2 linked regions of the Alligator mississippiensis genome follow. The protein of the gene in region 1 binds, or shares a complex with, the protein of each later gene. Links are inferred from orthologs where the notes say so. Each region holds a gene or a part of one and is shown on either strand. Other genes may lie near its edges.

Region 1 (7,835 bases):
ATTATAGTGGCAGATGTTCTGTAAAGAAATAAACAATTGCTGCTACCTTTTCATTTTCATTCAGTAGGATTCAGGTGGATTATCTCCACCAACAAAAGATAAGTATTTTAAACCTTTTTTTTATTAAATAATTTATTTTGCTTGCACTTCAGTATGTACTAACATACCAAGCAACTCAGGAATATGGTAACGCAAGCAAGAATACTGAAACTGTCATTTTTCAAAACTTAAAGAACATGCAACCATTCGGTCATTTAAAAAGTAATAGCTAATTTAATTTGTACATTTTTGTTCTTATAGCAGGTGAGAGATTATAGATGATATAGTAACTGCATTTACTTTTGCTTTGCACTTTGGTAATATTACGTTGCTCTTTGATAATAAAAAATTAGCATACTAATTTAAAAAAACCAAATTTCTTTGTTTCATGTATGATTTGATAAAAACTAAACTAAAATCACAGAGTTAAAAATACCCCTTAAGCAGTCTTCTAAATGCATCAGAAAGGACTATTTCATTCACAGGTAAATATTCTATCCATACAGACAATGTCATGTTGATGCTACCCAAGCTCCCAACCCAAAGTTGATATCTGTAGTACGTTATTCACTGAGGAAAATTACACTTTGAGACACTAATCTAAAGGATAGAAAATGCATGATTTTACGTAATTGGCACAGATTACTCTGCAGAAAAAGCATGTTATTTTTGTCTGATCTTTAGACCTATATCACCAACCTGACTGCTCATATAATACGGCACTGGGTGTAATGTGAACACAGAGGCAAGAGGTGCTGCAGATGTAAATGGATTCCATGAATATAGCATATTTTTCCTTCAGACATTTGTGAATCATTTAAGATCCACTCTATTGTCTTGACTATCCCTCACAAAGCAGAGAAATCTGGCTATACAGTTGGAAAATGTAGGCCTGATCCAACTTTTAATGAAGTCAATGGACTTCATTAACTTCAGAGGATGCTGGACCAGGACCATTCAAAGTGACTTTTAAAAGAAACATATTCAGGGTTCCACTGTAATATGTGGACACAGGATCAGATTCCAAGAAAAGACAAAAACAGAAAAAGTCAATATTTGAGCTACATTATAATTATTTTTTAAAAGAAGTAATATATTCTTATACACATTGCTGTTTAAGATGCACAAGGAGTACACTGAAAGGAATGCATTATTGAGAGAATAGTGGAGGTGGTGGCATGTTATGGTTTTGACAATATCAAAACCAAATACTTGGTACTTTATACAGTACAAAAGTGGGTTTTCTGAATTTAACCAAAGTTATCCATATGAAAGAATATTTTTGTAATGGAAAATATTTTGTGCGCTTTTGTATGCTTCAGTTAATTTAATTTGGAAATTACAATATTTCTGTTTTTTAAATCATGTTGCTTTCTACAAATGGTATAATAAGATTTAATAATAACAACAGAAAGCTTAGTAGTTGCACATATAAAAGTATAGTTATGCAACTAACAAACCTGGATGGCATCCAAAAATACTAAAATGTAAAAATAGTTTTTTCTTCAGTTTTACATATCCTGAAACATACAAGAAAAAGACAAACTCTGGAAGAAATACAGTAAATGGCAGATCTACAGCAATTTTATTCTGCTTCTCTGAGGTATGTCCAGGAGGTTATGTTGTCTGTTCCGGATGAGTGTGTAAGAATTATACATATATATATATATATATATATATATATATATATATATATATATATATATATATATATATGGTTATATATAAATATAAAAATCAAGGCCAATTCAAGACAGAGCCTATTTGCCAATTGTGACAAGACGCTGCTCCTGAAAACAGATCATTTTAGAGTCATCTTCTTTTTTTAACAGCATGTCCAATCACTTCTTTCTCTGACACTCTGCACTCTTCCACTGTGACCATGGCCACAGTGACAGACAATCGTATGACCACTACTGCTTAAGTGTCATTCTCCGTGTCCTGTAAACATTTTTCCCTGCTGTACAAATGCAATAGAAAATCCTGATACTTTCCCCAGAATATTTATCTTTGTAGCCACGTGACTTTTCCTCCTTAATATTATTTGTTCTGACAATGACATGTGTCCTACTGCTTCAATCAAACTGATAGCAGTCCCTTCCAAGTCAAAAAGAGTGACTGGACAGTGCAATGCCATCTGTTGCTTGATGCCCTTGCCCACATTTTACAAAGTGACACTTCACAGTATATTTTCCATAACATGGATTTTTGATTCCTCCAGAAATCAGTTCAGCTCACTGACCAGAAAACCACAAAGGCCAGTGGAAACGAGGTGCACAGAAAGGTTATTTTTTTTTAACCGTATCGAAGCCACATATTGGATCTTCCTTTTTGGAGATTCGTATGTGTGCCGAGTCAATTGTGGCTTTAAATGTATGAGTATGAGATAGGTATAGGAGCATGTGGGTGAGCTAGATATGTAAGAGTATGAAATAGATGTCCAAGTATGAGCTATACAGATCTCGTACCCTGATATATGAGAGTTATCAGTATGAGATAGATAGATAGATGGATAGAGAGATAAGAGTATGAGATAGAGAGATAGATACCAGAGTATCACACACACACACACACACACACACACACACACCTGAGTGTGAGATTAAGATGTATCCATCTGGCACTGGGATCTCTCTCCCACACTCATCTACCCGAGCATGAGAGACAGAGGTAACGGTGCGAGATGCCCATGTGCGTAGGGCAGAGGCATCTCCTGCTCACACAGGCGAGCCCCAGGCGGACCCCCGAGTGCGAGCCCGAGCCCGAGCCCGAGCCCGAGGGAGGCAGCCTTGGGAGGTGCGAGCGGGGCAAGGCGCAGCGGAGCACGAGCCAGGCTTGCCCCCGGGGCCCGTGGCGGAAGGCGCTGCCACGGTGTCCGGGACCCGCGCCGGCCCGCCCGCCCGCCCGCCCGGCGGTGCCCGCGATGCCGCAGGCGGCGGCGGCGGCGGCGGCACTGGACAGCTCCCTCCCGCGCCCGCCGCCATGGCCCTGCGGCAGCGCAGCCGGCCGCCCCGCATCGCCCCGCGCCTACTCACCACAGCTTCCGCTTGAGGGGCATGAGGCTGCCGCGGTTGGAGGCGGTCACCCCGATGGCCATCTGCAAGACCGTCAGGTATTTCTGGTACTTCATTTTGCCGTCGCTCCCCCGGTCCCTGCCTCGTCCCCGCCGCCGCCACCGACAGAGTCTCTCCAGCCGCTGCATGCAACCATCCGATGGTGATTCCCAGGCATCTGCCGGCCCTGCCTCGCGCCTGCCGCTCTCCCCCGCCTGCCGCCGCTCCTGCTCCTCCTCCTCCGCCGCCGCCGCCGCCGCCGCCGCCGCCTGCTCCGCGCTCCCCCGGCTCACGCCGCCTCCTCCTCCTCCTCCTCCTCCTCCCGCGCTGCCCCCCGCTGACGCGGCCTCCTCCGCCCCCGAGCGCGGGGCATCTCCCGCCCGCGCCGCCGCCGCCACCGCTACCGCCACCGCCTCCTCCCCTCCCCTCCCCTCCCGTCCCCTCCGCGCTCCTCTCCTCCCGCCGCGCCGTGAGGCGGAGCTCCTCTCCTCTCGCCCGCACCTGCGGCCGCCCCCATGGCTCTGCCCTCGCCCCCTCTCGCTGCCCTGCGGCTCGGCCCCCGCTCGTCCAAGCTCCTTAGTGCCGAGAATAGCCCCGCGTTATTTCCTTCCCGCGCGGCGCCCCCCACCACGGCTGGGGCTGGGGCTGTGGCGGGCCTGAGCCGGGAGCTGTCCCGTCCCGTCCCGTCCCGTCCTGTCCCGCGCAGACGGACTTGGGGTCCCCCCGCGCCTCCTCAAGCGGCAGAGCCGGCGCCTCCCCTGCACAGCTCCCAGACCAACGGCCTGAAGGACACAAGCGCCGCTCTCCATTCTCCCAAGTGGCAGCAAGGACTGAAGTGAATCCACCTTGTTCAGTTATATGCGCGGGGGGGGGGGGGGGGGGGGGGGGGCGTTTCTATAGGTGCCACCACTTTGGTCATGCTGGAGGAAATAAAAAAGCATGATCAAGTGGTGGGGCATGGGCACAAGATGGATACTAATGCAGTCTTAAATTGTTGGTACCATTCAACCCCAAGTTCACTATTAAAAACCAAGTGCCCTGTCCTTTCAGCCTCAGCACACCCCAAATTTAAGTTGCGTGCAGTGTACTGATGTACCAGCCTTGACACACAGAAGCAGTGAGGTGCACTTGCCTCTTGGGGGGAGAGCAGTACCCAGCTGACCACCAATACTAGATGTTGTGACTAGCGCTACCAGAACAAACCCACCTCCTCTCAACAAGCTCAAAAACATCTTTAATGTCCACACAAAGCAGTGAAGACCTAACATAACATAACATGATACCCTTACTACTACTACTACTAACAATAATAAAAAAAAATCCTTTTGAACCTTCCCAGGAAAGATGCTCTCATATGAATACTGGGAAGCAGCACTCCAGAATTACAGCTCTTCAGCAGAGGTTTTGCTACCCATGTTCTCAAGATTATTACCAGAGATGGTTTGAAATTGACTCCTTAAAATATCAGTTGCCACAACAGTTCATTCGACTGCCCCTATGTTATTTCAATGTGCATACATTTCGCAAGGTGTGTGTCACCAATCTCCATGAATGCAGAAGTGACAATTTTGTACCATATATTGCAAATTGCACGAACAACAGCACTTACGCTGGGTGATTGAAACAGGTGCTATCAACCGCACTAAGCTAGAAAAGAAGATGCCTTAAAAAGAATGTTTCACATGCAGGCTTAAACAGAAAATCACATTTTCCCTAGGTTCCCCTCCCCCAGCCTTTTCAGTTTTTTTCTTATATCAGTAATACATGCCTCAAAAATCACAATAGACTCGGGTTTTTTCAGCATATCAGAAGATAGGAAAACTAGCATTATACCTATAAGTAGAACAGATTTTAATTAAGACCATATTGAAATAATCACATTACTGTGGGTAATGATTTGAACAGCTGCATTCTCCTAGCCAAGAAATCTGGGATTAGTAGAAATGTCCTGAAATATTATATCATCACAGATGAAGAGATTTTAAAAATTAAGAGCCAGCTCAATGTTTCTCACATTGCCCTGCTCATCTCTAGCTCTCAAGGCACAATTCACAGGTTCTCACTCTTCTTCTAACAAATCCAGCATTAAAAAAAAGGGGGATACATTTCATTTAGCAAACAATCTTTCAGTTAAACTCTGGCCAAGAGAAAGATTAAGAGTAGAGAATTCAAGTTGTGTACTTAACCAGTACTTAACCTTTCCAAGTGTTGCCTTTAAAATTAATACTGGTAGTATCCTGATTATCAGCATTAAGTCCCACTGCCTTCTACAGAAGAGAGCAGCCAGCCTGATCTATATTATAAAGCTTAAGGAAATCCTGCTGTACCTTGAAAATGTACTTATAAGCAGAATATTGACCAAGAAATGACACTTTCTTATACAAATAATAACCGTGGTTGTTCAGAGTTACGATCTGTTCACTTAAGTGACTACAATGAATGTTTATTTTATTTTTTTATTATTCATACTGTCCCTGAAGAACCCACATAAATGTTATGAAAGATCATGACCTGGATTTTGTTCTCACCCAACCATGATAGATTTTTTACCTAAATTATAATTAAAATACTCGGTTCTGTCCCTATTTATATTTTTTTCAACTCCATTAAGATTTTAATTTATACCTGTACTATTCTGTATAATCCAATCTTTATTACTGGAAAAATTACACAAAACATTTAAAATTCTAGTTTGAATTTCAGGTCTGGAAGGTAGAAATATATGCATTTTTTGTAAAGTGGGCATATCTGATTTGGATTTTTTTAAATTGCTTTGAAATATTTGAAATTATAGGGAAAAGATAAGCACTGAATCCTACAGTATATTTCAATGGAGTCACATTTGAGACTGAATTCACTTTAAAGATTTATGGAGCAGGGTGCTAGATGCTGTGCCAGGAAGCTTTTTATAGGGACCTTTCCTTTTGGAGTAAAACTATTTTAATTCTTTCTCTGTGTTTGACCTTGCAGTCTTAGATGAACAAGGATCACTTGCATACTCTTTGTTCAAACTTACAGCTAGGCCCTGACTTAACACTAAAAACTGTGCAGGCAGATCCCTGCAAAAAGGCTCAGGCTTAAGGCCTCACTATGCCATGTAGATGTTTATTCAACTCCCTTAAAAAAATCATCCTAATTCCTAATTCTAATCTCTATTTAAATTTATTAAATCATTATAACTATTTCTGAACCAACATTATTCAATTATTCAATCCCCTCCCCTCCATGCTCAGCAGCACTTTCTCTCTCCTTCCCCTCCCTGCTCACAGATGCCCCCAGCTGACCTAGGGGTGGGTTGGGGTAACTCCAGAGCCCTTCTGCCCCACTGCAGCCAGGCTTGGCCAGAGGCAGCTGCCACAACAGCAGCAGGAGTAGGCAAGTTCTCTTCCTCTGCACATGGTCCTGGGCTGGTGGAGAACACTGCGGAGACTGGGGAAGAAGGACAGACCTACCCACTGCTGCTCCTGTTCCTGGCTGAACCTAGCTACACATGTAGCTAGCAGGAGATGCTCTGGAGCACCTCTGCTACTGGTTCATCTGGTGACAGTGGAAGAAGCAGGCCGGGGAGGGAAGAGGAGGTGCCACTGAGCATGAAGGAAAAGGGAGGGGGGAATTCTTACTAGCTTCAGGAACTTAAAAAAAACAAACAAACTGAACTGCTGCTCCCATGGTGTGAACAACTGAAATGGGGCATGTATCTATACCACTGTACCCTGCCCCCATCCACCCCCAACTTCAACTACTTTATGACTAGTGTTACAGACATGAATTAAATGATAATTTCACATTTTGATTCCTATTATTTTACCCCTCTCTCATCTCTTAGTACTGATGCATTCTATTTCTTCTGTCAGGGAACCTTGTTATAAGCACACATTTCATTAATATGACAAAGATGAGTAGGAAGATGCTTCGTGTTTTCTTGTGTCTCAGGTGAATTAATGCCTGTTTCTATCAACAGCAAATCAGCAGCCTCCTAGCTTTGGTTATACTTCCAGAATGTCCAACCCTTGCCCCATAGGGCTGTACAGCAAACCATTTAGCTCACTCATGGTAAAAAATTGCAGGCGTAGGACTTTCTCAGACAGCAGGTACTGTAAGTACATAAGTACCTTGAAGGGACATTGCTTTTGTTCTCCCTTAGACAAGCTTATTCTATGTGACAAAAGTGTTTCTCTTTCATCCATATGTCAAAAATCTATTAAACGAATGCTGTTAACATTTTTCAAACAGAAATTATGTTTCAGAAGTAATTTACTTCATATTAGACAGCTTACAATGAATATAAAAATAATATTGTTTTGACGGCAGTGTGTACAAACAGAGCAAATAAAATTAGGCAATTATGGTTTATCTAAATTAGCAGTATACCTCTCAAGAGCATTAAAACCACATTCACTTTGTTTATGTTCTTTGAAATGCTTCTTATCTGAGCTTCCTGTGGTCCTTTCTAGCTCTAGGAAATACAAGCAGTTTCTTCTGGAGAGCCTTGAATTACACTTGAATGTATGGTAGATCACCATAAATATAATACCTCAGTAAACATGTTCGTGGCTCAGACTCCTGTCCCCACTTTACAGATACTTTATGCCCATGCAACAGTTGACTTGGTCAGAACACAAGCCTAGAAAGGCCCCTTGGAGGAATTTCTTCAGTACACGGGTAGTTTAGTATCCATATATACTCTATGCTACCTCCATCCCAGGCCCCAGATTCTTGATTAGAGCATTCAACACAGACATA
Region 2 (7,633 bases), on another chromosome or scaffold:
TGTTTTGAGATTGGCATGGCATGGCATAGGAGAAACCATGGGAGAAAACTGAGACAACAGTGCCTATATATCTCTTGCTTCAATTCTGCTGTTACGCTGATCAATGGACAGAGGTACGCAGTTACACTCCTTTCACCTGTTTGATCGCAAGACAAAAGCTGTTGTCAGAACAGAAAGAGAAAGCTGGATGGAGTTCAGAGCTGTTGAGGACTCATCTCAGGAGAGTGCTAAGATGCTTTGCAACTCCTCTGGCCACAAATGGCTTTAAACAATTTTGATCTGCTCAAGCAAAACTAGATGCCAGTTTAGATTAAACTAATTTTCAAAATGTATTAAAACAGGCAACAACATGCTTATATCAATGCTATTTTAGAATTTCAATAGGGACAAATAAACAAATACTTTCATAGTGACAGCAAATAAAAGTGTAATTAGGGGGGGACAAAGCTAGTGATCCAAAATCCCCACAAGCTTTATAATGAGCAATATTGCCCACAAAACTAAACTAAACTATCTGCCAGAGTCACATTAGTGTCACTGAGGCCAAGACAGACTAAGTAACTATATCAGTTTGTCAGACAAGGACCTTGGAATAGAAAGGTGCATCCACTTTTTTTGTTGCTGGATACAGAAGTCAGCCAGTGCTTCTTGAGCTAAGTGCAGGTTGGAAACTTCCTTCTTTCAGCCTATCAACATTTTAAGCTTTACAGTATAAGAATATTTACAATAGTTAATTTTCAAACCCGTTTTGATGATGTAGGTAGTGGCTTTAATGTGGAACCAACCTGTCATGACATCAGGTCTTCACGCTGGGATTTGTACCAAATACAAGCATGCTCTATTGGCAGATGGCAGAGAAGTGCTTTTAGAAATAACATCTTTTCATGAAAGTTTACTAAAAAAAATTAATTTACTGGGTTTCAGATGGAAATTATAGATGCTTTGGTATGTCTTGAAATAAGGAAACTTCTCAAACCAGAATCCCCCATGAAATAAAGAAAAAGAAATTCTAACGTTGAGGCCGTAAGAACTTTATGAAGGTCTTGCACAACCATTATACTACATATTACCCCTTAAAGCCAAAAAACTACATGTACATGAATAAAGTGTGTTCTACTAAAAATTGCGTAAAAAATTGGTTCAGAGATGCTCAGAAAAGTGTGTATGCTCATAATCTGATGTGGCTATAAACAGACTTGATCGCCAATGATGGCTAATATCCTATTCAGTTTCAAAAGAATATTTCAAGCATTGATTGGGCTAGAGAAATACAGCCTTGCCCAACAGAAACAGGCAATTATGTACATATATATGCACACACATGCACATGCTAGTTACATCAGCATTTAATGCTGCCCAGGAAATAAAAAAAACATACACCCCACACTAACCGTAATATTACAAGTTCTAAAGAAAATGAAATTATGATTTACAACTTTGGTTCTCAATAAGGAGCTCTGATAATGAAAGACATTTTATAATTAAACTGTAAACTAAATTAAGACTGGTCTGCATGTTCTGAGTTAGCACTAAATACATTTAATTTTCATACATTTCAGCTGCTTATGTATTTCACGCAATCTTATCTTTCTATTAAAAAAACAAGCTTTTGCATCATTTAAAATCCAAAAGAAAGTTGTTTCTAAGGCACACAGCAGTTGGGCACATAACTTTCCAAAGAGTGCCAAGAACCACACTGACTTTTGTGTCTTAAAAATCTGCCCCTAGATCTATTGTAAATTCTTCCCTCTACTTCCAAATGTTTGAAAGTCTCTAACAGCTTGTTTTAATAAACCAGAGAATTAATATAGTAAAAACTTTTCTCCTGCTGACAATTCAAAAGATCAAGTTACATCTACAACAGCTAAACAGGGTTGGGTCACTGGTTCACTCTGGAAAGTTTTCGGACTAGAAAAACTAACGCAATCTTGGAACTGGCCTGCAGTCATCAGCTAAGGTTACTTCAGAAACTTGTTTCTAAACAACACTTATGAAGAACAAGGTTCAAAACAGTGAATCTGTGGCAGCCTTTTGAACTCCACTCTACAAAAGAATGATCGATAAATTGTTCTGACGGGATCGATTTTATTAGACACACCATGACAGCCTCCCTTTTAGCCCCAATCTTGACAGGCTGTCACTGATTCTGCAGAACACTTTAAATCCTAAATTTCACAGACTGAAAATCAGGGTTGGCTTTCTACCCAGAAAGAGGTAAGACAGAAACAGCACAGAATCGCCGCTAAAATTTACTCACACGGTTCAACGATTCCTAGGGAGGAAGGAATTAGACTTGATGAGACATCAGATGGCGTTGTACCGAAGAGGACAAAAGAGAAGATAAAACGCTGCCACCGGACGCGGAGAAGCAAGGCTCTGTGGGCCTGTGTTTCGCCTAGGACAAAGGGTAAAGCGTTCCTGAGGAACACAGATATGAACCAGCGGAAGCACACGGCGATGATGTTTCCAATGCTGCCACCGTTTCAGAGGCACCCGGCACGGCCCCCTTCCCCTTCCCTCCACAGCATGCGACGGCATTCGGCGCAAAGGGTTTTCTCTTTATGCTCTGGAGAAGTGAAAAACCCTGGACAGCCACGACGAGCCGAGCCACCCGCGGGCTCTTTTCTAGCTCTGCCTCCCACCCCCCAAACAGTCCGGCCAAGTCTTAGGGATTTAACATCTCCGAGATCTTTTTCCTTCCCCCTTAAGCATGGCAGCTAACTCCAGGCTTGGCAGCCGGACATTGATCCCATCCAAATACAGAAATCAATCAGTGGATGCCAATCCCTCCAGCACCCCCGCCACACCACAGCCACCCATCCTCACAACAAAAGGGCACAACACCAAATCCCCCGTGCAGGGGGCAGGTGCCAGGCTGGGGCAGCACCAGGGGCAAGGGGCCACCCACCGTGCCCCCCAAACCCTCCAGGCCGGGGCAAGACCCCAGCCCCAGGCAGGGGCGCCCCCTGCTGGCGCACTCACCCGCCGGGGCACTGTGCAGGGGCACGCGCGGCCGCCCTCGGCGGGGAGCCCCACCCTCCGCCGCCTCGGCGGGACCCCGCCACAGGGGAGCAGGAGAGGGGGCCGGGGCGCATGCGCGCGGCCGCCCTCGCCCCCTTCCAGATGTGCGTTGCAACCGCCGCCGCTGCCGGGCGAGCCTCCCTCCCGCGTCCCCCCCCGCCGAGCCGTTCCGCTGGGACCAGCCACCTTCAGAGCGGAGAGGGCAGGGGCCGAGGCTGAAGTTGGTGCCTTTTCCCGGTTCCTTTTCAAAAGCTCATCTTTACACAGGGAAAGGTTGTTAGCAAAGAGTTAGACGTGGCTAAAGAGTTCGTCAGAAATGGAGATTGACTAATAAGAAAATGGAAAAGAAGCTCATTTATGGAGCCCTGAGATTGGGCTGGGGTCATGGGGCACATTCCTCCTCAGGGCGCCCCAGCCCACGTGCCTGCACCACCGGAAAAAATCTGAGCAGGGTGGTGTCTGGCCCAAAGCTCAGTACATTTTTCATGATACATTTCGGATGAACTTCTAGCTTTTTAGCATGTCTGATTCACTCCAACAACCTTTTTGTTGTGTAAAGATTAGCTTTGAGAAAGGGGCAGGGAAGAAAGACCCAACTTCAGCTTCGTGCCTTCCAAGCCCTTCAGCAGAGAACAGAAACTGGGTTTCAGATGGAAATTATAGATGCCTTGGTTTCCAAGCCCTTCAGCTGAAAGCAGAAACCCCCACCACACCCTAAAGGTGTGGACTCTCCATCAGTGGAGGGATAGGTCTGGGAGGATCTATAGCAGCCACTCTGATTCTCCGCTGGGGGTGTGTGTGGCACCCTGGGGTGCCTCAAGATTCCCCAGTTACAGACGTGTAGCCGTGTTGGTCTAAGGACATAGGCAGACAAGGTTCCTCGGGTGAACCTGATATCTTTGATTAGACCTGACAAAGGGTTTTTGAACCCGAAAGCTTGCTTAATAATTATTTTCCAACTATTTGGGTTGGTCTAATAAAAGATATCAGATTCACCCAAGGAACCTTGTCTGCCTCAAGATTCCCCATGGTGTTAGTCCTGCAAGGCTTACACAAGCAGGATGTGTAAAAGTAAACCTGAAGATTGCCAATAAAAATCTGTGCTGTTAAGATTTCTTGCAGTCTTTCTGAGCCCTTGGCAACAGAAGGATTGCTCCCTTATTTTTCTGTAGTCAAAAAAGAAGTGAAAAGTAAGAGCTGGCATTTTCTGAGGGTTGAATGAGGAAGTCTAAAAAAAGCTTGAGAACCCCTGGCTATGTTCTGCTGTGAGTTTTTCCCATGCTTCTGGGCTTTCCTGGTTACCGTGTGCAGCTGGGAGGGGATTTTTTCCCCTTCCTGCTGCTACATGCTTCAGGGTTTTTCTTTTAAGACTTCCTCAGAAGCATTGGGTATTGGCTACAGCCACAGCTGGAGATTTTGACTAGGACGTGCCAGTGCTTCTGCTGCGATTTAAACCCAGAGGTTCCTGGTTAAAGAGTCCTGCCCCTTGGCTCTGGGTCAGACCAATCATCATATCTGGGGTCAGGAAGGAATTTTACCCTGTGGTCAGATGGATGTAGACTGTGGGCGTTTTTGTCTTCCTTTGCAGCGGAGGGGATGACCCTCTACCTAGGATGTCTGGAGCATATTTTAACAACCTTTCCACTAGGAGGATGTTGGCTATGATGGTCCCCCTGCTCTGCCTGTGTGTAGCATATTAGGGTGCTGTCTTGCTTTTTGTCAGGGTTGATGGTATAGTTTTGTTAACCAGTTAGGCAATGGATTTCTATAGTTTGGATCGGGATGATCCCTGCCTCAGACAGGGGGTTAGACTAGATCAGGAGTGTCAAACTCATCCTGGGCCCGAGGCCAGATCTGGATTATGGAAGTTCCTCCTGGACCAGATCTGCAGAGCCAGCAGCAGCTGCGATGGGTCTGAGTCTAATGGCACGGTAGGGGGAGTGGGCAGCAGTATGGATCCAGACAGGCAGCACTGGGGCAAGCGAGTGCTGTATCTCCCTGTCCTGCTCCCTGATCTATAACGTATTTTGAAAAGCATGAATTCCACAAGAGCTGGCTTCTCAGGATACTTTGGTGACAAAGTGTGAAGCAGCAATAATAATATAAGAGTATTATTTAGAGTGCCTTTAATTTTGAAGGATTTGGTTCCTGGGGATCAGGACTTTCATCAGGAATATTACCTGTTTTGTCCCTGTGAAAAACTACTGACAGTTGATCAAGGTTAAAGGCTCTTGCAGTTTGCATGTGCTCTGCAGAGATGACTTTGATTTTAGTGAATAAATTCCTCAAAGATTCCATCTGGGCTAGGCAGATACTAGCCCTTGGCTGAGTAAGGCTTGCCCTAAACTAGAAGCTCAGATCTGTTGTGAGCCATGCCTTGTCAGGTGTGGGTCTGGGCACCCAAGCTGGGAGCAGGGAGACCATTTCTCCAGTGCCCTTCCTGATGGATCTATGTGGAGTAGGGGAGGAAGCCAATGGATTCAAACGCAGAGGAGACAAGACTTGGATGTGCAGAAGAGGCAAAGTAGATTGGAACAAGGAGCCCACCATGACAGATGTAGAAGCAGAAACTGGGATGAGAGGCTGGAAGGTGAAAGAGGGAAACTATAACTGTTTTGTGGGGAGACTGGGACTGGGAGCAAGAGAAGGACAAAAGAAAAACTAGGAGGCACTAGGTGGATGGCAGAGTAAAAGAAAATGAGGAGCCAGGCAACTATCTGAATAAGGAGAGTAGGATGAGAGGCCTAAGGAGTGAAGACTTGTCATGAGCTGGTGAAGAGAATGGGACCAGGAAGCAAGGACTGTGATGAGACACGGCTGAGACAGGGGGAGAGGCAGGACAAAACTAGTTATTCTAGGGCAGTGGTTCTCAACCTCTTTAGACTCAAGGCACCCCTGGATAGATTTGAGGACCCCTTGGAAGATGCCAGCTTTTAACTTGCAATCTGTTGCAAACAACTCAGAAAGACCACAACTATGAATATCTAGTGGAAATCTCTGGGTTTATCTTGTGAATCATATTTGTAAACCTAACAGTGGTAACTTTGTTTGGCACTCCATGGCATCCTTGAAGGATCTCAAGGCACCCTGGGATTCTGCAGTACCCTGGTTGAGAATCATTGTCCTAGGGGGAAGAGGTGGAAGAATCTGTGGGTGCGGAACAGCCCCGCTTCCAGATTCTGGACCTGAGCACAGGGTCCTTGAGTTCACAATCCCTCTGCTGTCATCAGATATCTGTGAAACACCCTGGCAAAGTGTCCCATCCGCCACTGGTGCTGGTCCACACAGAGGATAACAAGCTACCACTGCTATCAGTTACTTGATTAGCTCAAGTGGCTGAAGTCTCTGTGATTCAAAGGTACCAAACCTGCTGATGACATTATGTCATGTTATTGAATGTTTAGGGATTTTTTTCAGTTTGCTTTTTTTTTTTTTTTTTTAAGCAAGCAGTTGCCCAGACTTACACAGAACATGAAGCAGAGAGGTCCAACAGAAATCAATTCTACACAGCTTTCATCCAGCCCCAGAGCTGGCCCATACTGTGCACTAAAAGATGCAGCATTTTTTGAATGAAAAATGGGATGTGATTGTGTAATTAAAAATGTACAGGCAACCTTAATCCTGGCATTTCCTATTTAATCCATGACTTTACGATCTTCATAATCATACAATCATAGAAAATTAGGATTGAAAGGGCCCCCAGGAGATCATTTAGTCCAACCTCCTGCTCAAAGCAGGACCAGCCCCAACTAGATCATCCAAGCCAAGGCTTGGTCCAGCTGGGTCTTGAAAACCTCCAAGGATGGAGATTCCACCACTTCTCTGAGTAGCTTGTTCCAGTGTTTTACTACCCACCCAGTGAGAAAATTCTTCCTAATATCTAACCTAAACTTCCCTTGCTGCAACTTGAGACTTGCTGTTTGTTCTTTCATCTGCCACCACTGAGAACAGTCTAGCTCCATCCTCTTTCAAACCCCCTTTCGGGTAGTTGAAAGCTGCTATTAAATCCCCCTTCAGTCATCTCTTCTCTAGACTAAATAAGCCCAGCTCCCTCAGCCTCTCCTCATAAGTCATGTCCCCCAGCACCTGAACCATTTTTGTTGCCCCTGCTGGACTCTCTTCAATTTATGCACATCCTTTCTGTAGTGGGGGGCCCAAAACTGAACACAGTACTCCAGATGTGGCCTCACCAGTGCTGAACAGAGGGGAATAATCACTTTCCTTGACCTGCTAACAATGTTCCTACTGATGCAGCCCAGTATGCCATTAGCCTTCTTTGCAACAAGGGCACACTGCTGGCTCATATTCAGCTTATTTTCTGCTGTAACCCCCAGGTCCTTTTCTGCAGAGCTGCTGCCCAGCCAGTCAGCCCCCAGCCTGTGCCGGTGCATGGGATTGTTCCATCCAAAGTACAGGACTTTGCACTTGTCTTTATTGAGCCTCATGAGATCTCTTTTGGCCCAATCCTTCAATTTGTCTAGTCATTCTGAATCCTAGCCCTACCCTCCAGCGTATCTACTACTCCCCACAGCTTGGTGTCATCTGCAAACTTGCTGAGGGTCCACTCTATGCCATCTTCCAGGTCATTGATGAAGACATTGAACAAAACTGA

What was found.
Region 2: the proteins of TJP1 (region 1) and GJC1 are in contact, whole or in part, in a crystal structure (PDB 3SHW), measured with the Homo sapiens proteins. The link is inferred for Alligator mississippiensis from reciprocal best matches to the Homo sapiens genes TJP1 and GJC1. Residues at the interface, in NP_003248.3 of Homo sapiens: Lys429, Ser432, Val433, Gly434, Leu435, Arg436, Leu437, Gly449, Val450, Leu451, Val484, Leu487, Leu488, Leu549, Asn551, Gly552, Lys553; in NP_001073852.1 of Homo sapiens: Lys391, Thr392, Ser393, Val394, Trp395, Ile396.

Annotation. Positions count from the first base shown.
Region 1 is NC_081834.1:36,583,872-36,591,706, forward strand, and holds the start of TJP1 (tight junction protein ZO-1), read right to left. Parts: upstream 3,257-7,835; 5' UTR 3,242-3,256; coding exon 3,075-3,241; intron 1-3,074. UniProt on the Homo sapiens protein: TJP1, TJP2, and TJP3 are closely related scaffolding proteins that link tight junction (TJ) transmembrane proteins such as claudins, junctional adhesion molecules, and occludin to the actin cytoskeleton.
Region 2 is NC_081827.1:161,882,529-161,890,161, reverse strand, and holds the start of GJC1 (gap junction gamma-1 protein), read right to left. Parts: upstream 3,082-7,633; 5' UTR 2,983-3,081; intron 2,396-2,982; 5' UTR 2,260-2,395; exon of another isoform or gene 2,258-2,259; intron 1-2,257. UniProt on the Homo sapiens protein: One gap junction consists of a cluster of closely packed pairs of transmembrane channels, the connexons, through which materials of low MW diffuse from one cell to a neighboring cell.